Drosophila melanogaster: one gene and its partners. The protein of the gene in region 1 purifies or fractionates together with the protein of each later gene. This does not show direct contact. Each region holds a gene or a part of one and is shown in the gene's direction. Other genes may lie near its edges. The genes, in order: Sgf11, Brf and Atxn7.

Evidence for each region.
Region 2: the proteins of Sgf11 (region 1) and Brf purify together in Drosophila melanogaster (affinity purification with western blotting; one study listed by BioGRID). This does not show direct contact.
Region 3: the proteins of Sgf11 (region 1) and Atxn7 purify together in Drosophila melanogaster (affinity purification with western blotting; one study listed by BioGRID). This does not show direct contact.

What each region holds. Positions count from the first base shown.
Region 1 is NT_037436.4:18,676,219-18,683,597, reverse strand, and holds Sgf11 (SAGA associated factor 11kDa), read left to right. Parts: upstream 1-1,761; 5' UTR 1,762-1,909; coding exon 1,910-2,500; 3' UTR 2,501-2,561; downstream 2,562-7,379. Other genes in the region: Chmp1 (charged multivesicular body protein 1), read left to right, coding at 1-379; CG32202 (uncharacterized protein), read right to left, coding at 835-1,159, 1,221-1,321; GNBP1 (Gram-negative bacteria binding protein 1), read right to left, coding at 5,822-6,019, 6,076-6,453, 6,518-7,302.
Region 2 is NT_033777.3:17,386,366-17,394,283, reverse strand, and holds the start of Brf (Brf RNA polymerase III subunit), read left to right. Parts: upstream 1-2,946; 5' UTR 2,947-3,121; coding exon 3,122-3,194; intron 3,195-3,255; coding exon 3,256-3,624; intron 3,625-3,683; coding exon 3,684-3,788; intron 3,789-4,018; exon of another isoform or gene 4,019-5,129; coding exon of another isoform or gene 5,130-5,841; intron 5,842-5,899; coding exon of another isoform or gene 5,900-6,574; intron 6,575-6,641; coding exon of another isoform or gene 6,642-6,795; intron 6,796-6,860; coding exon of another isoform or gene 6,861-7,382; intron 7,383-7,918. Other genes in the region: CREG (cellular repressor of E1A-stimulated genes), read left to right, coding at 25-468, 530-611, 684-793; sds22, read right to left, coding at 1,375-2,355; lute, read right to left, coding at 5,304-5,841, 5,900-6,574, 6,642-6,795, 6,861-7,382.
Region 3 is NT_033779.5:2,371,772-2,379,689, forward strand, and holds the start of Atxn7 (ataxin 7), read left to right. Parts: upstream 1-4,069; 5' UTR 4,070-4,372; exon of another isoform or gene 4,373-4,492; intron 4,493-4,561; exon of another isoform or gene 4,562-4,901; intron 4,902-5,360; 5' UTR 5,361-5,430; coding exon 5,431-6,504; intron 6,505-6,564; coding exon 6,565-7,918. Other genes in the region: CG3609 (uncharacterized protein), read right to left, coding at 739-999, 1,059-1,305, 1,363-1,654, 1,723-1,930; CG15390 (uncharacterized protein), read left to right, coding at 2,985-3,038, 3,095-3,868.

The sequences.
Region 1 (7,379 bases):
CAGTAGGGTTCAGTCCGCACTCACCACCCGCAAGGTCACCGGCTCCATGGCCGGCGTGGTCAAGGCCATGGATGCAGCTATGAAGGGTATGAACCTGGAGAAGATTTCCTCCCTGATGGAGAAGTTTGAATCGCAGTTCGAAGACCTGGACGTCCAGAGCTCGGTAATGGAGGGCACCATGTCCGACACGGTAACCACCTCGGTGCCTCAGGGAGATGTCGACAATCTGCTCCAGCAAGTGGCCGACGAGGCTGGCCTCGAACTCAACATGGAGCTGCCCAGCGGAGTTCAGAGCCAATCCGTTGGAGCCTCGACAGCAGTGTCCCAAGAGCAAGACGAGCTCACCCAGCGACTGGCACGTCTCCGCCAGGCTGAATAAAAATAGCGACGCCCTGCCCGTTGAATTTCTGTTTTAGCAATTAAGTACATTCAAAATATAAATAAGTATAAACTCAGTGATTGGAAGTCTATCGATGCTGCTTTGTCTACCATAATCAGAAGAATTGCCATGAATCTTTAAGTGTAAGTGTGCTGTTTGTATAGGCTTCAAACGGATTATGATTTACATGCTTTTCTAATGCAATATACGATAATCATGTTTTAAAGGCTTTGTTGTTATAGTTATTTGAAGACCTGCCAATTTTTGTAACTTGTTTACTTGGAAAGATATAGCATAATTTGGAAATAGAAATGGTTCTGCAGCAATCACAACTTTCATTGCTTTGGTTACTATAATTCATTTCTGGTCTTAGCTTTTATTTGTCTTAATATTATATTTAAAAGTATACAAGCCCTTTATCTTAAAACTAGAACACGCCAAGCAATCGCTATGACTCAGGTCAACAGTGGAGGTTGAGGTTGTTGATGCGGTGGTGCAATGACTGGATTGGGATTGATGGGTGCCTGTTTGGCTTTTTGCTTTCGGGGTTTCCGGGCAGCTGGAGTATTGGGTCCAGGCTCAGACCCGGGTGCTCCTGTTTCATCCGCCGCCTGCTTGTTTTTGGGCTTCGGTCCTCGACGCTTCTGCTCGGTTTTCCCTTTGGGATGTGGAGCCTCCATGGGAACGGATCGCCAGTCGTCTCCGTGCTTATCTAGTCGCCGTTTTAGAAGCTCCACGTCATGATTGCGCCTTCTTACTATCTTTTTGATCCCATTTACTCTGGATAAAAGGTACTGCACATTTTTGTTTACGTTTCGTGGAGCATAAAAATGACGGTTACCTCATCACACATCGCTCATTTTCCGCCTGAATCCTTTGGCACCTGTCATACAGTTTTTCCACCAGCTGTTTGTACATGAGTTCTTTCTTATTTAGCAACATTTTATACAGATATTGGTTATAGTTCAATATTTAGAAATGTTTTTATTTACGCCATGGCTCAGTGTGGCCAGATGGGCGATTTTCTTCTTGCTCCGTCTGTCGGTACAGGCGTTGCCACGTCATATTTATTCAAAAAAGGACTAGTTCACTTATTGAACTAAATTTAGCAAAAGTGCATAAAAACTGCTTGACATAATTGTCTTTAATTTAAGATTTAACTGGTCATAATAATTACTTTACATACTCGTTTTATGAAATGACAAAACCTGATGCATTTAAAATTATAAGTTAATGAAAATATAAACTATTTAAATTGGTTAATAATATAAATTTTATAATTTGCTATAACGGTTAAAGCTGTTACTTTTAGATGCAACTATTTAAATTGAATATCTAGTTCCTTAAAACTATTTACCCCTATTTGCACCAGCCTGGCAACTCTCTCATTTTGCAAACAGCCGTGTTAAGCAAACCCACAATTAGTAACTTATGTAGTTCCACAACAACAACCGGCATGCCAAACAAATCTTCCAGAGCAGACAGGAAGACAGCCAGAAGCAAATAGATATAGTGTTTGCGCCAACTATTATGTCTGCAGCCAACATGCCGACGACAACAGGAGCTCAGGGATCGGGAAACCAAGTTCCCACAACTAGCACTACGATTGTAAACCACTTCCGGGAGTTGATCAAGGAACCGAAGAACCTCGACGAGGCGGCCAACTATCTGTACCAGTCGCTGCTCGACGACGCCGTAGTCGGAATCTTTAACGAGACACATCATCTGCGAAAGTCAGGGAATCTGGCCGCCCTGGACGGAGTGCCGGAGGACTCAACCTATCGAATGTGCGAGATGCCCAACCTGGACATATTCGGCATCTCAACGGCCAAAAAGCCAATGGACTGCACCTGCCCCAACTGTGATCGCCTGGTGGCCGCCGCCCGCTTCGCCCCGCACCTGGAAAAGTGCATGGGCATGGGTCGTATCTCGTCGCGAATTGCCTCTCGTCGCTTGGCCACCAAAGAGGGCGCCACATCCGCCCACCTGCACTCTTCGGGAAATACCGGAGGCACTGATGATGAGGATGACGTGGACTGGTCGTCCGACAAGCGTCGAAAGAAATCAAACCAGAACTCAAGGAACAACGGCTCCAAGAAGAACAATGGCAAAACCTTTTAGTCAGAGCTAACAATCATTTTCGTAGTTTATTCTGCCATAAAAGTACACCTTTAAATCAGTCACCAATGTATTCTAAACTAATGGGATTTTGGTGATCGACCCCTACTCTTCTTTGAGATCATTTGAATAGGACAGCAGTTAGTGGCAATATCTAATCAATTAATATCTAGATATCATAGGACAAGGGTAATATAACTTTTCAGCAAATAGGCGCTTTTAAACATAGACTTTCCTGGTGCTAAATGAAGTAATTCAATGTAATAATATGAAAGCAAGCCTTAGTTTTATATTTTACAACTTAAAGAGTATATATTTTGGTTATTTTCCTTCCTTATCAATGGCAAACACCCGGATATGGTCGACCACTAGGGGTGTCCAGTCCGAATTTCTAGACAACTCCTCGAATTGTTTGTCAGTTTTGGGGTGGGTGTTTAAAAAGGGCTTGTGTTTCATTTCTAGAATGTCGTCATTGAAATTAACATTGCCGCCGGCGGTTAGGCCAAGGACTAGATGGCACTAAAAACGAAAGATCATAGAGATATTACATCTTTTAGAGGAAGGCGTCTTACCTCATGTTTTCGAAATGGTTCAAGAAGTGTCGGATTGTTTACTGCTCCGAAGAACTCGCCATCGAACTTAAAGATAATTTTGTCAGTCTGCCAGATAATAGTCGTGAAATCCGTCCCCATAGTAAATTTCCCCTGGCGTACAAGCGAATATGATCGAAAAAATCGTCATCCGCCTTATCCATACGGGGCACCAGAAGAATGTCTAAAGTAATCAAAACCATGTAGTGATTACCAGCTATAAAAACTAAATATCCACTCACTTGGAAACAACCAATCGCCTTTGGGCATTTTAGCTCTAATCTCAACTCGCCCATATTTAAAGGTAAAGTTCGTGTGCATGTTGGCGGATCTAAAGGTCTTGGAGACCCAAGGCTCCCGTTTCGATCTTGACCCCCTGTCACACTCTTTTCGTTTGGCTATTTGCTGGTGCAGCCCAGAAGAGTCATATTTCGCTCATCTCTGGTAATTGATATGTGCAAATTGTTGTTGGTTATAATCGAGTTGACAGGATCGTCCACAAAGGCAAAAAACTCCTGGTTTTTCCCGCCAGTATTACGATACCTAACCTCGCGTACCCAATTCAATGGGAACATTCTGATAACGTTTCTGAAGAACTCAGGTTAATCTAGGCCCATCAAATAATTCGCCAATTCCATTATCGTTGATTTTAATCTCGAAAAACTGAGTTGCAATCTTATTATTTCTCTCCACCACAGTTTGAATTCTTATTTTGGCATTGGGCTCAATGTTACTTTGTAACTCAATCTTTGCACCAATATGCTTCGTTATCGCACCCTTTGTCAACCAACTCGGCTTGAAAGTATATGGACTCAATCTCTTCCAGATCCCCGGGTAACACTATGAATACCTCCCTGCCCTTCACATTTACCACTGGATGCGGCCCCTCCAAGGCAATCATCAAAGAAACAAGACAACCTAACAAAATTAGAAAAACACAGCCTTTCCGCATGGCGGCTACCAGAGAATCCAGTCTTGCAATCATTGTGTTAACATGTGGGTTACTGCATTCCCTAGCATATAAGCTCTCAATCTTTAGCTGTTCTCTTGTAAAAATATGATAGATATGATCACATTGGTTTCCAATAATTAGGTCAGATATAGTATTTTATTCAATGAAATCATAGATTCACTTTTTTCATAGTTCACAGTTTCATTAGACCAAATATTTAATTAAGTGTTGTAGCTTAATGAGATCACGCGAGTCATATTCATTCCTCGTATTCATCGATTGAATAAACATTAAATTGTTGTATGACCAACACAGCTTGATCCCAAATGGGTGCATTGGTTACGGCCTTTATAATTTTCGATGATAGACCCGTTTCGAAATTGCGATAGCTCTTTTGCTCTGGCGGAATGCTGTTATCCGGAAAATTGTACTCTCCGCCGACAGTTAGGAACAATTCAATGTGGCGCTGAGGAGTTGGAATTTTAGTGCAAAAAAATTAGTATTATTAAGTAAACCAACTTCTGTCTGACTGAGTTCTTGGACGATCGTTGAGTTCGTTATTTGAGCAAAGGTGCGACCATCTATCTTAAAGGTTATGCTCTCCTCCGTCCCAATAGACGTGTAAGTATAAAAGTCATTCCCATAGTGATCATCCCTACTGGCGAACTCCTCCAATTCCACCGAGCTCGTTGGACAATGGCAATTCGAATGGCATCGTGATTAACTGAAGACAGTGTGAGTCCTAAATGAAGGATTGCATTCGATTATCCTTGTTACTAATCATTAAGTTCGAAATCACCTGGGAACAAACAGTCTCCAATGGCCATCTTGGTTTCTATGTCTATCCGACAGTACCTAAAGGTATCCAATGAGAGTAATTTTGCCGAATCAAAGGGAGGCATACATTTTCGAAACGGCAATCTGTACTTCTTCTCGCCACATCTTTGATTGGAATCGCTTTTCGAATAAGCGCAGTTCTCCAAATAGAAGGGGTTTTTCGACCCATAGTTAGATTTAGTTACATACGAATTGGCTTTTCAATTCACAAGGGCCACTCCCTTCCTGTGATTGCACCACGTGCTTCCAATTTTTCAAAGGATTTTCACTATCTCCAAAGGACTCGGTGACAATAGCCTACCGCTGCAGCTTGCAGCTGATGGGTTTGTCTCTAGTGAGGGAAATCGCGGGCAGGCAGTATTTCGTAGAGCTACGTAGCTTCTTACAATCTCTACTTTTCTCGGATGATGGTAGGAATTTCCGCAGAGGCTCTACCAAAGCACTGCTTTCTCCCAAGGATCTGATCCTGAAGCTTTTGATCACAGTTTCGTTTTGATGGGTCTCTACGACGGCGGATATTTTGAGGGTACCACTGCCCAGGTATTCCCGTATAGCCTATAGTCATAGAAGGGACACTTGTCCCCTTCGAACTCAGTGTAAAAGAGCACCGACCTAATACGATGATCTTCTATTTTACTTATTAATAGATTGTAGGCAGCAAAATGTGTGGCCATCTTACCTGGAAGCGATGCCCAGATCCATGTATCGTTTTCAGTGACATTCACCAAAAGCTGAAGAGCCTGAAAGGAATCAAAGCCGACCAACTGGCTTAGTATTAATGCCCAGACTCATCTCCATTCTGTCAGATAAGCAACCATACTGAAGCATTTGATTTCACTGAGTTTCTCTTAGGACTTTATTTATTTATAGATTTATAGATTTCGATCGGCACGTTCACTTATGTGTAATTTTATAAACATCTACCTAAATCATGGATTTTAGTTATCAGTTGGCGAAGACACGAACATAATCGATCTTCAAGGCCGGCTGTTTCCATGTGGGTAGCCACTGGTCTTGGGCCTGGTGGAACTGCAGCTTCGCCTGGGGATGATAGTTGGCCCAAGGCTTCTCATAAGTGGCGGTGCGAAGATGGTCCACAAAGTCACCAAATCCGCCCACAGAGACGCCCAACGAAATGTAAAACTGAAATGGGAGATAAATTTGAATTAAACTTGTTAAATTTAGATCACTAGGCTTACCATTTTATCGAACGGGGCCATGGGACCGCCCTGCTTCCACCTGGGATTCTCGTCCAGTTCAGTGAAACCATTCAGCATCTCTCCATAGACCTGACCATCTACGGAGAAGAGCAGCCTATTGCTGCTCCAATCCAAGCTGTAGGTGTGAAAGTCATCGCCGAAATGGGATATCTTTCGCTTGCTCAGCCATAAGTCCTCCCTTTGGTGGGCATCCGTGGAGAGTACGGGTCCTCCGTATAGGGATCTACCATCTACAAGCTTTCCGCGCGGCATCCTCAGCACGGAGTTACCCCTGGCCAAGGCCACTCGCAGCTGGCCGGATTCGTAGCCCGATTGCCCGTACCATTCGGTGAGGGGTTCGAGTAGTAGGAGTGGTACCTTATGAAGAGTGGGAAATATTAATTTCAAAGCTAAGACGTTGTAGTTGCATAATCTCACTTACTATCCAATCTCCCTTTGGTAGCTTGGCACGGATCTCAATGCGTCCGTATTGAAAGGCAAAGGTTTCCTTGGTGCTGATTCGAGGTGTTACAATTGGGGGCATTATCCCACTGGGTCCACTGCCCGTGGAATGCAGGATGCATTCCTTAATTCTGTTATGGGTTCCAGTACAACGCTCCGATAGATCGAGCCTGGAGTTGGCTATGGAGAGATCCGGGCGATAGCTGGACCAAAGAAGCGGCTCAATCACCAGGTTGCCATCGTGAACTTTGGCCTTCCCGTCGTACAAGACGAACTCTGCATCCTTGGAGTCGAGGGGCAGGCGAACATCATGTATCCACAGAGATTCATTCAGCTGATCAAAAGTCTCCTCAAACAAAAGTTGTCCCTTACATATGGAAACACCGATTTGCGGCGAAACCTGGCTTTCAGAAGGTTCACAGACGGAGGGAGCGGTGGGTTCCAAAGCACTGTCCTCAGTACTTAGCTGGTTGTCATCCGTAAAGTCATCATCACCGGGCGAACATCCCCTGGGCCGATACTCTCCGCCGAGATTGCAGACTGGCAGGGGCTGCGCCAGATCTTGATACACAGCCTTTTGGTGCTGCACACTTGTCCAAAGGTATAGAACATCTTGGGATCTCAAGGGAACCGAACTGAAGTTGGTCGTCCACCTGCCGTTCTGGGGTTCAGTCAATCTCACATTGTACTGTCCCTCGTTTATGAAGGATGTGAAATTCCGATTGCGATTTACATTAAAGGCCACCACTTTTACGCCCTCTTCATCTAAAAAGAAAAACAAAATCGGATAAATTAGCAAGTTCATTTGCTAATTTGTAGCTGATTATAACTATAAACTGTCA
Region 2 (7,918 bases), on another chromosome or scaffold:
CATCGTTATACTTGCAGTCTAGCCATGAAAACCTTTCACTCCCTACTATTCGCCCTGATTTTGGCCCTCGTGAGCCTGGACCCCTCTTCCGGTTACTCCCGCCGGAAAGATGAGCGTATAATTAGAGAATATAAGCGAGAGCAAGAGTTAAATCACGCCAAGATCGCCAGAGATTTGGTCCATCGCGCCAATTGGGCGGCTGTGGGAAGTCTCTCCACCAACGAACGGGTGAAGGGGTATCCCATGGTCAACATTATCTCCATCGACGACAGCGATGCTAATAACAGGTCCACTGGACGTATTCGATTCCTGCTAACCGATTTGGACTTCACTGGTCCCGACTGGCAGAAGGACAACAAGGTCACACTCCTGTTCAGTGACGAGCAGACCCTAAGATGCAAGGAGGGCGGAAAGGATCCCATGGAGCCTACATGTGCCCGTTCCATGATCAGTGGACAGGTGAAGAAGGTATGAAAAATGAATTAAATCCTATTTAAAATGGATTAAGAATGTTTTGGCTCATTTGAAGATGGATCCTAGCGACAAAAGCTATCAGCCATCGCTGGATGCCTATGTGAGGCGTCATCCAGCTGCCATCAATTGGGTAAAAGGTTGGTGAAAGCGAACCTCATTAAGAGCTCGATATGTATGTACTAATAATAAATACGTTGTTTCTTTTACAGCTCACAATTTCTACCTTTGCGAACTGGAAATTAGCAATATCTTTGTTCTGGACTTCTATGGAGGTCCTCATAAAGTGAGCGCCTCTGACTATTACGCTGTTTCGAATTGATGAACTCCTCCAAAAGCAATCCAACTGACGCCTCATATACTTTGTCAAAAAATGAAATGATAAGCATATTTGCACAACATGTCTGCCACAAAGGGAAAGAATGAAGACAAAGGCCTTTATGAAAGCCACTTATCAGTTGAGCTCTGTGATTTCAATCGATAGAACAATAACTTTGATATAAATAAAAATACATTCCGTTGAATGTACTCTGACATACTGAAATGTATTGTTTTGGTTTAAGAGAAACCAGAATTGTTTAACTAAAATGTTTTCATCTTTTTAGATTCAATTTACATTATTTATGTGTATATATAAAATACTTTTTAGTTTTATATGTTAGGCGGTAGCCTAGATGGATAATTTATCTGACTCATTAGGTAAACTTCACGCTTTGAGTAACTTATCCAAATATACCTTCTTCTGAAAGCAAACTAAATCACTGCACCCACCAATTCGTAGATAGAACCATTAGTGGTTAATTTGTATGTATATTTTAAACGCAGTTTTTCAAAGTTAATCGATATAAATGTAGTGGCGCAACGCCGTGGATTAGTCTTTCAAGGGGTTTACAGTGGTTCCATCTAGGTACCGGGCACCTTGCACAGGGTGGCATCAATCTTCTGCAGCTGCGGCAGTATGTCGCGCAGTTTGGAGCGGTAGCGAACATCCTTGGCCAGCGGATTGTACTCCAGGTAGATGGTCTGCAGCGCCTTGTTCACCTTCAACAGCTCAATGTCCTTCCAGTCATCGACTCCGTTGTGGTTCAGCCACAGCTCCTCGAGCAGTTCCAGCTTTTCCAGATTGGCAATGCCCTTCAACCGGTTCTTGGCCAAGTCGAGGGTCTCCAATTTGGTGTTCTCCGAGAGGTTTTCAATGGTTTCCACTCCGTTTTCCGAAACGTAGAGTTCGCGGAGGTTGGCAAGCTTTTCAAGGTTCTCGATTTTTACAATGCGATTGGCCTGTAGACTGAGTATCTCCAAATTGACCAATGTGTCCAAGTTCTCGATCTTTGCTATCTTATTTTTGCCCAGGAAGAGCTGTCGTAGATTCACGAGCATTTCGATGTTTTCGATCTTCTTCAGTTTGTTATCCCCCAGCTCTAGCATGGTCAGATTGGTGAGCATGTCCAGGTTCTCGATTTGGGTTATCCGGTTCGACACAAAGTAGACCTTCTCCAGCTTGACCAGCTTGTCAAGGTTCTCTATCTTCGTCAGACGATTGAAGCTAATGTCCAGCACCTCCAGGTGGGGCAAGTCGTCCAAATTCTCAATCTTGGTGATCTGGTTGTCATACAGCTCCAGCTCAATCAGTGTTTTCAGGCTGGACAAGTTCTCGATTTTCTTGATCAGATTCCAGCGCAGAAACAGGCGCTCGATTCGAGTCAGCGGCTCGAAGTTCTCCAGCTTCTCGATCCGGCGATGATTCAGATCAAGCTCGTAGCAGTCCGGATCGATTGTGATTATATCCTCAATGGAAGCCACATCCTCGGCGGGAATCACCTGGATTCCGGACACAGTTTTCGCGGCTTCTGGTTCGTTCATCGCACGATCAGCATCGCCCATGACTGATATATTTTGACCGGCTTTTCTTTTTTTTTAATTCAAGTTGACTTTCGAAAATTGAACGCTGACTTGACTTGTTGTTTATTCCGCTGCTCAGGGTGGAACAAAGTGGGGTGACTTTCTTTAAATATGACGTCAAAGCTTGACACTGTTACAAAAGCAAGAACACACGGTAAATATAAATATGTAAATTTAAAATAAATATGTATTAAAATATTTACTTAATATTTATAAGTTAAGTCCAAGATGACTGTATACTCCTTTTGGTCCAACTTGTTCAATATGTCAACAAAATACTTAGTCACCTTACCGGCACTTTAACACTATTTCTACTAGAGATGTGCACCTAAGAACACGATGCTAAACCTGTATTATTATATATTCCAATGTAAATGAAAAACAAATATTGATTGATAATTTGCCAAATAAACTAGAACATAATTTTTGGAACCAGCTTTACGTAATTTTTACAATTTTAATATCTCTTTTAAGTTTTTCAAGCAGTTGTGCCAATGTCGTTCTTGATTGAGAAATGCGCATCTCTAGCATTTCTTCTTCTATCATCAGTGTTAAGCAACGCCGGCGGGGTTCAATCAGATGTTTTCCAAGCGTGTTGATTCAATTGGCAACAAATTGCAAATTGTTTAAAAAAGACTCGAAAATGGCTTTCAAATGACAGCAAACAAGTAGTTTAAACTGTCAAAACAACGGATAAAAACGAAGCGTTGCAGGTGGCAGTGTTTATTAAAGCAAAGAACAAACAATCATGTCTACGGGCCTAAAATGTCGCAATTGCGGATCCAACGAGATCGAGGAAGACAATGCTCGCGGAGATCGAGGTATAATGACATCCAAGGACCCATATCCATGACACTAACGACGTTCACCCATTCACTGTAGTTTGCATGAACTGCGGCTCGGTATTGGAGGATTCCCTCATTGTTTCCGAAGTGCAGTTCGAGGAAGTTGGCCATGGAGCAGCCGCAATTGGCCAGTTTGTGTCCGCCGAGTCGTCGGGCGGTGCCACCAACTATGGCTACGGCAAGTTTCAGGTGGGATCGGGCACCGAATCCCGCGAGGTGACCATCAAAAAGGCCAAGAAGGACATCACACTACTCTGCCAGCAGCTGCAGCTATCCCAGCACTATGCAGATACTGCTCTGAATTTCTTCAAGATGGCATTGGGTAGGCATCTGACCCGCGGTAGGAAGAGCACCCACATCTACGCCGCTTGCGTGTACATGACCTGCAGGACAGAGGGCACCTCCCGTGAGTAGTGCATTCATTTTGCCTAAAGAGTAGCTTATTGACTGCTCATATCTTCACAGATCTCCTCATCGACATCAGCGACGTACAGCAAATCTGTTCCTATGAGCTTGGTCGTACCTACTTAAAGTTATCGCATGCCCTTTGTATCAACATACCTTCTCTGGGTGAGTGAACGTTGTGAATACTAAACTATACACCTAAATCCCAATCCACAGTCAAGTCAAGCCATAGCTCCACTCTTAATTTTTGTTTTTTTAAAAATATTTTGTTGGGTTTGTTAGATTTGCTTGCTTTCCTTTTATCAGGTATTTAACAATACTCTACTCGTTCCTGTTTTCTTTATGCACTACTTACGTGATGTCAAAATATCCAAAATCTTCAACTCTGAGAAAGTAAATTCGCAAAAATCTAATAATGTATTTTGTTTGATTAAAGTACATAATGGTAATAGATTCATAATCAATACAGGATAACATTTTATATAGATATATGTATATAAAAACCATAATTGTCTTATCAAAAGCAAAAAATCAGTACAATTTCCAAAGAAATCCGAAATACAAACGTAAAACTGATTGTTGCGCTCAGCAGGCTATAATAATGCACAGGAGAAGTACGGGGCTTAGTATCAGTAGAAAGGCATATTGTGTATGTATGAGAGATATAATGGAACAACTACGAAATAGATATAATGCGTACTACAAGATTAATATTTGAATATATATGTAGGGGGGATTTTGTGCGCATCTCGTACAAGATCCCTTGATTTCATTTTTGTTTGCTATTTCGTTAACTGGTTAACTTGGGTTTCAAATTCGTCGTATGCAACTATTAACATGGCCTATTCTCCCTCGAAGTGTTTAGGACTATAGTTTATCATTATCAGATCAGATGTGTGTATATGTTAGGTATATGCTGGCAAAAATATGTTTGGTATATATCGTATTAGCTTTTGTCCACTCTCCCTTTAACTGTCTTTAGAATATTGGTTAACGCTAGCTTGACTGATTGCCCGATTTTCACTTATTGCATGTATCTATGCGTCTCTATTAGCGTCCATATGACCCCATCCCGCCCTCTTAAGTCGTGGAACGTATTAAGTTTTCGAGTCAACTACTAATCTTTATCTATAAAGTTAAGAGTGTATATGATCAACTTTTTCGATTTTGAAAATATCTTTATATGCATTACCAACAGACTATGTGCAGTGCGTTTTAGAACTGCAAAACCATTGATTTCACTTGCTTAACATACTTGGGATATCGAAGGAAACTTTCCAATTATAGCAAATTTCCTATATCGATTGACTTGCATCGGCTGACTTTTTTTTTTGAGATGATCACGTACTGACAATCGTCTTGGAGTTTTAAAACGCACTGCCGAGGTGTATATATATGTGTCTATGCTTTGACGTGTATATATATGTTTATATATAGGACTATTATGAAAACTAGAGTACTCTACTATCTTGGTATATATATATATATATATATATATATATGAGCCTAAAACTCCAATTTACTTTCTTGTGCTGCACTGAAAACCCATGAGTTTCGATTTTGTATCTGTATCTTTTGCGGTTGCTGTGTTTTGTATTGTTGTGTTGGTCTCCTCTGTTGCTGCTGCTGTTGGCGGTAGTAACAGGCTCCCTGCCACTCGGCGCAATAGAGCTGTGCGCATCAGGTGCTTCCGTCGCCATCCTCCCCAGAACTGTTGGCGTTATTGCCAGATCCATTGCTGCTATTCGGAACAGCTGTTCCGGCTGCTGCGGTTGAAGTCGCTCCTGCATTGGAGGAACTGCCACCAATTGGCGTGGGACACAGTGAATTGGTGGGCGAGCTCATTGCTGTCACTGTGGTGGGTCCGTAGAAGATTAACTCTGGGATTTGGCCGCCCTGAACTCCGGTGCCGTTGGTGCTCTCCGACGAGCACTGGAACTGGAATGTCACATTGCCCATTAGCACCTCGGACATGCCCTCCTGGCCAAAGAAGCTAAGCTCGTTTCCATCGAGAATTACGGAGGCGGTATAATAACACTCGGGCTCGATCTGGATGGGATTCTCGAAGAAGACGTGGAACGTGTTGCTTGATCCGTCCGAGAAGAACTTGGTGTCGTTCTCTGCAAGCGTGCGGCCCAGGCGTTTAAGTTCGATCTTTACGTTGTAGTTGGCAGCACCAGTCGACGAGCCGTACAGTCCAAAACCCACAATGAAAATTCTGAAATTTTCAGTTTTAATTACCTTAATCCAATAACCATTTGTTAGATAGAACTTACCTTCGATCAACAGAAAACTGAATTGAATCACAGCGCCCGCGGTAGCGCCACTGGTTCGAGCGATAGGCGCACGACTGGAAGCGATGGCAGACCTGGGTCTTTAATCCCGCCCTGGAGCGTGTGGGAAAGCCCAGGGAGGGCTTCATCTTGGCAGTGAAGTGCAGGAACATGTCGATCGTCTCCTGCGACGAAAGAATGCCTGTCTGGGCCACGCCGTTAGCGAACTCCTCCAGCGACATTGTGGGAATGCGGATGAGGTGCAGCGCTTGTCCCAGCAGCCGGCGCTTGTTCTGCGGCGTGTCATCGATGCTCATCTTCTCGCAGGCGTTCATTGCCCAGTTAAGGGCCGCCTCGAACAAGTGTATCTCCTTGCAGTTGAGTGTCTCTCGCGAAAGAATTGACTCAAAGGTCTTGAGATCAATATCCACAAAGTCCTCGGACTTAACCGCCATCTCGGCCTGGGCGTCGATCACTTCCCAGCAACGTTGCATCAGCTCGGGCTCCTCGAACAGACGCGATTGACTGAGAAGTAGGCAGGCGTTTTTTGCCGTCAACTTCACCTCCAGATAGTTGACGCATGCTCTGGCTAAGTGCGGGACAATGTACTTCTTGGCTGCATAGAGCGTGGCCAGAATGTGTTCAGGTTCCAGTTTGATTTCATCACAATAAAGGTACCTAAGCGGAATCATAGAGAGTAAATATATACAATTCCGATTGGTTGGTTGGGATGTGGATATCTTACCTTAGCAACGTTAGGAAGGCAGTGGGTTCCACGTCAGGCACTTTGATTTCCTGCTTGTTCTCCGCCAGTCCTCCATAGAACATAGCATAGAATACGGAACTGCCCGTGGCGAGAATATATTTGTGGGCGGGAATGGTCTGAATGGGATCGATGTCTGTGAAAAATGCAGGTCATGAGCAATGCTGTTTGATTGGTTAAAGAAAGTAAAAGAACGCTTACCGAACTCTCCGCCCACAATGAACTTGACATCGGACATGAGTTCGTTGTTGAACATGGCTGCATTCCTCTCGAGGACCGTCGCCTTGCTGGCCTGCCAGTTGGGATCAGCCGTATCGATGGCGTTGGATGCTGCCACAGCTGCGAAATGCCAATTGGTTCCGGCAGAGCACACATACGATCCACTCCCACTGGTGGGCGTAGCGGAAATGGCAGCCACCGCTGCCGCTGCGGAACTGGAGGGCAGACAAAAGGCGGTGGGACTGCCGGAGATTCCTCCGGCACTTCCTGCACCACCACCACTGCTGCTGCCACTGCTGTTGAGGGCGCCCGGTGAAGCCAACGGCGAGGATGGAGCACTGATAGGCTGCGTTATCTGGATATTGTGATCCGCTGCGGCAGAGGGACCTCCTCCGCCTCCAGCTGGCGATGCTCCTCCTCCGCCTCGCTGTTGTTGCTGCTGCTGCTGCTGGTGATTGTGGGGCGGCGAGTGGAGCAGCCCGTTGCCATTGTTCAGGGTTTCCACTGCAAATGAGTTTTGGGAAAATGGTTAAATATTTGGGCTAAACGGGTTACGTATCGCTGTTCTAATGATCCCACCCAGTTCGCTCAGAATCAGCAGCACGCGTGGCCACATTTGTGCAACTTCCGCTGCGTGTGCATCATAAATAACAAATGCCAGGGTCTCCCCTTTTTCCACAATTATTGCACCCCAGGTACAGTGGGGCCTTGCTGTGTAGGCACAGTGTGTACCTGTCAAACTGTATTTAATATTTTAATCATGACTTAAGCATATTCTAGCCCTGATAATAAACCTTGATCTTTGAGCATATAAAAGTCTAGGCTGATGTAAGCTTTACACACGGGTTTTAATTATTTGTGTTCAAATTCAAAACTGAAGTTCTTATTCCTGAAGTTTCACTGTCTTCTAAAAGTGGAGCGTCTCAAAATAGCAACGTATTGGGACACTGTTGTTTTTGTTTGTGTTGCCAGACTGCGCCCCTCCCGTCCAGCCCCACCACCACCCGCTCCCCTGGCGACACTGCTTAAGTTGTGTGAAA
Region 3 (7,918 bases), on another chromosome or scaffold:
ATAGGTTGTTTCTATTGCTAAGGCCCGTAGTGTTTCCAAACTGATCACACGGTTTTCGAATCTCTAAAGAACCCTTGCTATGAAGTACTATAGAACTATTCTACGCAATTGCACTTATCTTATCTCTCAGAACAAAGACGAGCCCCCTTTTTTGACTGTTATCTACAAAATGACTATTAAACTTGTGAAAAGTACAGTTGGGGTACAAAACATTCAAATATTAGATAATAATGAGAGCTAAAAAGCTTATAGATGGTTTTCAAAAATTAGCATAGGAATATTAAGAATTTTTAAAAAAGTAATATAAATTAGAACAGACTTGGTGGTATAATCTATATTAGAGATATGTGGGTAGACTTTAGAGAACCCTGAGATAAGGAATCCCTGCGCTTTTTTTTACCAGCCCCTAAATTAAAAGACGGTATCATGCGGCAGAAACGTGATCGGGAATTCTGCCAAGTCAGGCACTTTAGTAACACCCCAGTTCGACCTAGTGGGAATGTCATCGCTGCCGTTCCACAATCAATAGCTCCCCTTATCGCACTGTTTGCTAATCCTTGATCTAGAGTGGGGCATTGAAAAAATACAACAGGGGGTCCAACTTTTAGTAAGTCCAACTTTTGCTAAGGACTTTAAAATGTATTGCTTTCGTTTAAAATAATTATTTGAAATATATATTTTTTGTAAAAAGTTCTGTTTATTATGTTAGGTTTACACGTTTATCTATATAATCTATATTTACTGCTCATCGTACTTGTTCAGCACACCGATCTGCTTGCGGATGGTGTCCTCGATCTCGGCGAAGATCAAACTGTCGGCGTAGGTGACGTTCTTGTTCTCCACTTCGCCGGCGATGATGGACTGGCGCACTGCCTCCGCCTCATAGCGCATGGCCTCGGAGTTGGCGTAGTTGGTCGCGTACTTGCCCTTGGGAGGCAGCCACTCCTTCTCCTGGCCATCGATGTCGATGAGCTTGTTGGGCGACCAGAAGTCAATCAGCTGGTAGATAAGACTAGACTATTAGCTACTCTTCAATCACGATCGATTAGATTACGTACGGTAACTTGTCCTTTGGTGCCCTTGATAACGGCGGTGTTTCCCAACTTCTCCTTGGAGGAGAAGCGCATGCGAGCAGTGCGCCCACCACTGTAGGTCAAGGTGGCACTAACATCATCGTCGATGCCCTCGGCGTTCAGGGTTCCCTTGGACTCGATCTTCTCCGGTTTCTCCTGGAAGGCCCACTGCGAGACCTGGATGGTGTAAATGCCCAGATCGTAGACCACACCGCCTCCCAGTTCGCGTTTCCTTTAAGTGATGTGATCTATTAGTAATTGTTATTCTATGAACGATCTGTGTACTCACTGCAAGCGGTCGACATGAGGCATAGGGAAGCCAAAGTTGACCTCCACATCCTTGACTTGGCCCAGCTGTCCGCTGGAGATGAGCTCCTTAACGCGCTGGTACGAGGGGAAGAATCGCGACCACACGGCCTCCATGAAGAAGCGCTTGTTGGCCTTGGCAGCGGCCAGGATGCCCTCCACCTGCTTCTTGTTCATGGCCAACGGCTTCTCGCAGAGAACATGCTTGCCATTGTTCAGCATCAGCAAGGCGACCTCGTAGTGCTGGGGATTCAGGGTGCCAATGTAGACCACATCTGGGGATAATTACATTTTTTAAAGATTTTTTTGAACAGTTTGTTTATGAACTTTAAGTTCTACTCACCGACATCGGTGCTCTTGGCCAGCTCCTCGTAGCTTCCGAGGGCCTTGGGAATGCCGTGCTTGGTGGCGAACTCCTGGGCGCGATCAAGAGCTCGGGCGGCTACAGCCTGGACCTTGTGGTCGCTGGAGGGCAGGGTGCTGAGGGCGATGACAAAGTCCTCGCTGATCTTGCCGGCGGAAGCGATTCCCCAACGGATGAGTTTCGACATGTTGCTGGATTGTGGAGCGGGCTGCGAATGAGTGGCAAGCCGAGTGGATTGTTAGTTAAATATGGGTGGAATCCACAGAGAGCCCTCCTTATCAGAAATAATGCGAGAGAATTGAACGCTTTATCTCACTCCCCACCGGCAGTTTATCCCATTCCAATTGTTTGAATGAAAATCGACCAGAAGTAGTTGTGCTATTTCACAATGTTATTGAGTTTGACCTTGTTTGAGCATTACTTGAGTTATTCTGGATGCCACCTGTACGGGAATTCAAAGTTATCACTGATCGAACGAGCCCTCCTCTCCTGGCCAATAGTTTCCTCATTAAGTAAAAACACTTGTCACGTTCGCTCTGATACACAGAGCTTTTAAGATTATTACAAAAATAACATTTTAATTCTCTTGATTAATTTCTGGATGATTTCCTTTTCAATATCAACAATTTATTAGTTGGGTTTTTGTGTATGGATTTATGTATATTTAAAAGAAATATAAAAATACATTTCACATCCATTTATAAATTTGATTTAAGCTTTTTCACTTGAATATAAATTTTTATCAGTGTATCGATCAGTTTACATGTCGTTTTCTACATACATATGTATGTATTTACTTGTACGGTTCCAAATGGCGACAAATAATTTGAATTCTTTGGTTAAATAAGCCGGGTAGTACTTAGTTTATAACATTAAGCTATATCTCTTTCAGAGTTTGATTATAATTATGCTATAGTTGAACTCTCACACACATGTATACACACATATGTACAAAATAAAGAAAAAAAACTTACGCTGAGCTTGTAGCAGAACTAAACGATAAAACTTTCCACTGTTGTTTTTTATGCGCGACAGTTCTATTTATAAACAATTTGCTGTGCACCCGACGAGAATAACAGTTCGATGCGTGCGATTTAATAGACAATTAAGCTATAGACGAATATGGTGGGTGTACCAGCTAAACATGCCGTTGTTCACGCTTCTCGGTAACTGTCATTGCAAAGAAGAAGAGATCAGCTGTTCATTGTTTTGCTCGCCGATTTAAGAGGACATCGCCAAAAATGTTGCGGAAACTATTATTTAACACACAAGCTGTATTAAAACAACAGTCAAACGTGAGTTAATCATGAATGCATTAGATAGAAATTAGATACAAATTGTTACTTTCCAGTTACATCACATAAGGCACTTGGCAACGCCCAAGATATTGCAGCTTGAACAAATTCACATCGATGAAGCCATCAAAATAGAACCCACGTTAGCTGTATTCTCACCTGAAATCTGGCGAAGGGCCCATCAAACTTTTCAAAACCACGGCTTGGAAACCGTGAATTTCCTTAGAATAGTTACCGGTAACCCCGCGATTTTGAAAAGAACGCCGGACAAAATAATAAGCTGCCTGGAAATCTGGAGGGCCTGTCAATTCGGCGAGAATCTACTGCACCTGCTCCTTACGAAGTACCCCGAGTTACTGGACGTTAGCGACTCCCACCAGTTACTTTCCCACATCGGCTTCCTTCAAAGTCGCGTCTCCACCAGCAAAAATGTGTGGAAGTGTTTGATGAACAGTCCGGATTTGATAGCACAATCCGAGGTATCTATTGAGGAGAAACTGAACTTCATCACAGACGTGATGCGCATAGAAGTGCCGGAGTTGGTTAAATCGGCAGCCCTTACCTTGTCATTCGAGGAGCTGCGTTGTCGCCACCAGTTCCTGCTTCGTTTGGGCCTCTTTAAGCCACGACCTCCGAAAGCCGATCCAAATGAGCCGACTACGAACCCCAAACTCTATCAGATTACAGACACTTCCGAGAAGAGTTTCGCCACAAAGATTTGCCACGTCACCCTGCCGGAATACGAAGCCTTCAAGGATCTCTACGCCAAGGAACTGGAGCAAAAGTCCAGAAGAAAGGAGGAGGATGAGCTTAGTGATGAAGATGACTAATGTTACGTTTAATTATGGTTATAGTTTGTGCCAGCAAATAAACGCTTGTAAAAATAGGAAATGTTAAGTATAGTTTTCTATCGCCTTTAAAAAGATTTTAATTCATAAATATATTCAACTGACTTTTCAGCGGAAATGCATGTAATTAATATATCGGCTACGTATGCAACGAATACCTGTGCGACTATCGATAACATATCGCACTTAATCTGCAGCTGCAACAAATACAACGTAACGTAACGAGACGCGAATTGCCATCCCTAAGCAAATACAACGATATTCATAATATCAATCTTTAAACTCGAAAAAGCGAGACAAACTAGAAAGCTTTAATTGATTTCGTTACAGAATCAATTAGGCTATACAACCAACTCGTCTTTTTCGAGTTGACCTGGCATTTTCCTCCACGGAGGCCGGCCAAAAATCCGATTTATCCACGGGTAGGGTAGAACGGTAACCTAAACCCACAAAAAAAACAACAAAACATGGAAGTGTGTTAACGACGTAAGTGTCATTTAATGCCGATATCATTCGGCATTCGACTAAAATTGCCTGCGAGCATTTTAAGTGATTTTTATTTTGTGATTTTCAATCGTGTGCTTTGTTTGTGTTGCATTGGTGTGGGTAAGTGCGTGAGTGTGCTGTGCGTCGGTGTGAGTGGCTGCGCATGTGTGCGGCAGTGCGAGCGAGACGGCGCCACTCGAGTAGCGGTTGTCAAAAACAGCTGATCCAGACCAAGGGGTGCGGGTACCGAGGGGTTGGCGCTCGCGGGGGCGGGGGCAGCACTCACCTGTAAGCTTTCGCTGAAAATTTACGATATCAAAAACAACAGTTTGTTAAATTTCGAGATTCATTCAAAAATGGCAATATACGCATAGAAATACTCCAAGACGTACAGTCTTCACACCCTCCACAAGTGGTTTGTGCAGTGTCCAATACTTTTCCGTTGCTAATAAAATCTATATATGTATGTATGTATGTATTCAGGGTCAGGGTCCTGTGGTCAATGGATATGTTGTATATGTATAAGTGGGTTCTGCTGATATCTATTCATTTAATTATAACGATGGTTCTGTTTATGTTAATCCTAACGTGCACCAAAAAATTTTAATTATAATATAAAAAAATAAAGAAAAAATAAATAATTAATTCTAAATGATTATTCTTGTTTTAATTTACCTTAAATCTAAATCTAATAAAGTTGTAATCTTCTTGAGATATACTTATAAGATTAAATTTGAGTTTTAGGGTTAAACACGCCTGGTGGTGATTCAAACCACGTACATATGTATATGTAATAGAATATACGAATTTATTGTATGAAAACTAGTGATGATTTTAACATGGGCATTTCGTAGGGATTCCGTGGTCCGGGGTTCATGGTGCATAGCCCCAGATTTTGTGTTTTTTATCAGCGATGAATTGCAGTATCAGTTAAAAGCTGTCACTATCAAAGTTTCTCTGGAACTAATAAATCAATCCTGTTTTGCAGGTGCTTTAAGGGGCAATTTTGCTCGAGTGTACCGAATCCCCGGATCCCGCGAGCACAGCTTCTATCCGGAATGCCCCTGAACGATGTGGCCCCCGCCGGTGGTGGAGCTTATCCGGAAAATGGAACCAAGCACAAGGTGTCGGGAATGTGGAAGCCGGACTCGTCGGCCGGCTCCAATTCCGGCTCGGGATCGGCGGGACTATCCCTGTTTAGCCTGCAGGGCCAAAAGTGGCAGCAGGTCTTCGACATGGAAAAGGTCATCAAGCAACTGCGAACGGCTGAGAAGACGTATCTGCGTGGTGGAAAGAACTCCTCCGCCGGCGCAGATCAACAGGCGAAGGTGCAGGTCCAGCGTCTGCAATCGGCGGACATGGCCTACTACGATCTGGCGCCGAAGCTGGCCAGTCGCGATATAGTACTCTGTAGTTCCTGCTCGGGATGTTACACGAAGGCAGGTTTCCAGCACCACATTGCGCTGCAGCATCCTAGCGTCTGGGAGGCCACATCCAGCAAAGTGAATCCCAATCCAAATGGGACAGCCATATCCAGCGACTCTCGTCTCACTGCCACGGAAATCAGTCAGGAGGGCGGGGCTATCGTGCCAAGTTCGCCCACGGATACGCTTTCGGCCTCGACGCTCTCCAGTTGCTCGAACGGGTCCAGCAGCTCGGCTTCACTGCAGCATCCGGCTGCTGCGGGTTCATCCAGCACCACGTCGTCTTCGTCTTCGTCGCGTCACAAGAGCAGCAGCAGTAAAAGTAGCAGTTCCTCCTCGTCTAAGGGCAGCAGCAGCACTTCCGCCGGAAGTAGGTCGCGTTCGAAGTCGTCAAAGAACCGCCACCACTCCTCGCCAGCTCCGGCCCTGCTGGAGTCCAATCACAAGGAGTCAAAGGGATCGAAGAAGAGTTCGGCCATAGCCGCTCCTCCCGTCGTCGCTGCTGTTGTTAAGGAGGAGCCACCATCTGTGGGTGCTGCTCCGGCTGCCATAACCATGTTCTCCTCCTCCAGCAACTCATCCTGCAGCTTACCGCCCACTCCCACGTTGGGAGCGGCCTCCAGCGAGGTGGCGATGGGGGTCAACTATTCACCTGCCCAGCTTCAGACGGATGCGGAAAAGCTGCCCGAGCTGCAGCCAAAGAAAAAGGTATTTCATATAATTGTGACTATAATAACTCAATGATACAATTACCGAAATCCTCTTCAGTTGAAGGGCTCCAGCGATCATCGAATAAAAGCGGAAAAGGAGAAGAACAAAGATAAGTCTCTGGTGAATTCCTACGAGCAGCAGCAAGTGCTCAGCGAACTGGACCAGGCAGTGTCTTCCATCACGGGAGCGGTTTCCGCCGAGCAGGTGGCGCCCGATGAGGAGGAACTGCCCTTGCCCAACACCTCCGACGAGAACTCCATTTCGCAGACGCTCGACGAAATGCTGGACAGCAAGCTGATCAACGAGATTCTGAATAACTTCGATGAGAGCGCTCTGGACACATCGCAACAGCAGTCACAACAGCAAGCGCAGAATGGATCGCTATCGCATCCCGCACAGGCCACTAAAAGGCTGCGCTTTGAGGACGGAACCATTGGCGAGGATTACGCCGTGTACCAGCAGCAGGCGGTTCAGCAGGTTTATGGCGAGGAAGAGCATCAGCAGGAGCTGACCACCATCGATGCCATGCAGTTGCAGCAACTGATTTACCAGCAGCAGCAGATGCTCGAGCAGCAGCAACTGCAAGAGCAGCAGCAACAGCAGCAGCAGGATCAGAAGCTTCAGGATCACGAGCAGCAGCGCCAGTTCAGCGTCTACAACGTGCCGTCTCTGACGGATGAGGCAATGGTCAATCCACAGCAACAGCAGCTGGAGGAGCACATGATCCTGCCCAGTATTATATACGAGATCACCGAGTCGAATCCCGTTTCCATGCTGGAGCAGAAGGTCTTAGCCGAATTCCTAACCAACGCGGGCTACGAAAATGTGGACGTGAATGTCGTGCAATCGGGCGGCATACAAACCAACTTGAGTTCTGGAACGGAGGCAAACCAACTGGCGGATGAACTGGCCGACTTTGAGTTCAGTAAACTGGAGACTGTTAGCGACACCGTAAAGACTGTTAAGCTGGAGGCCAAGGCCGCCAGCCAGCCACCCACAACAAATCCTCAAATCAATCACCATCCATCGCTGGCCAATGCCAAATACCACGAGGACAGCTACTTTAACGTGATGCTGTACTCCGGAGCGCCTCGTCCCTTGGCCATGAACACGTTTGGCATGGTGAAGTTGCCCCAGGGCCTGGGCGTCACCTTCCGCAAGAATCTGTTGACCACGCGGAAGGCGAACAACAATTTGCTATCCCTGTCGGGAGGTAATCACCTGGGCGTGGTCGGTCAGCTGGCCCGCACACCGCCGCCGCCCTCGCCAGCGTTAAGCAACGGTCTGCCGGGTAAGAATCCCGCCTCGGGCAGAACCATTTACGCTCAGCGATCGAATGTCATTGCACAAGATCGCCTGAGGTGCAATAAGAGGGCGCTGGTAGGAGGAAAAGCTGGTGGTGGATCAAGCG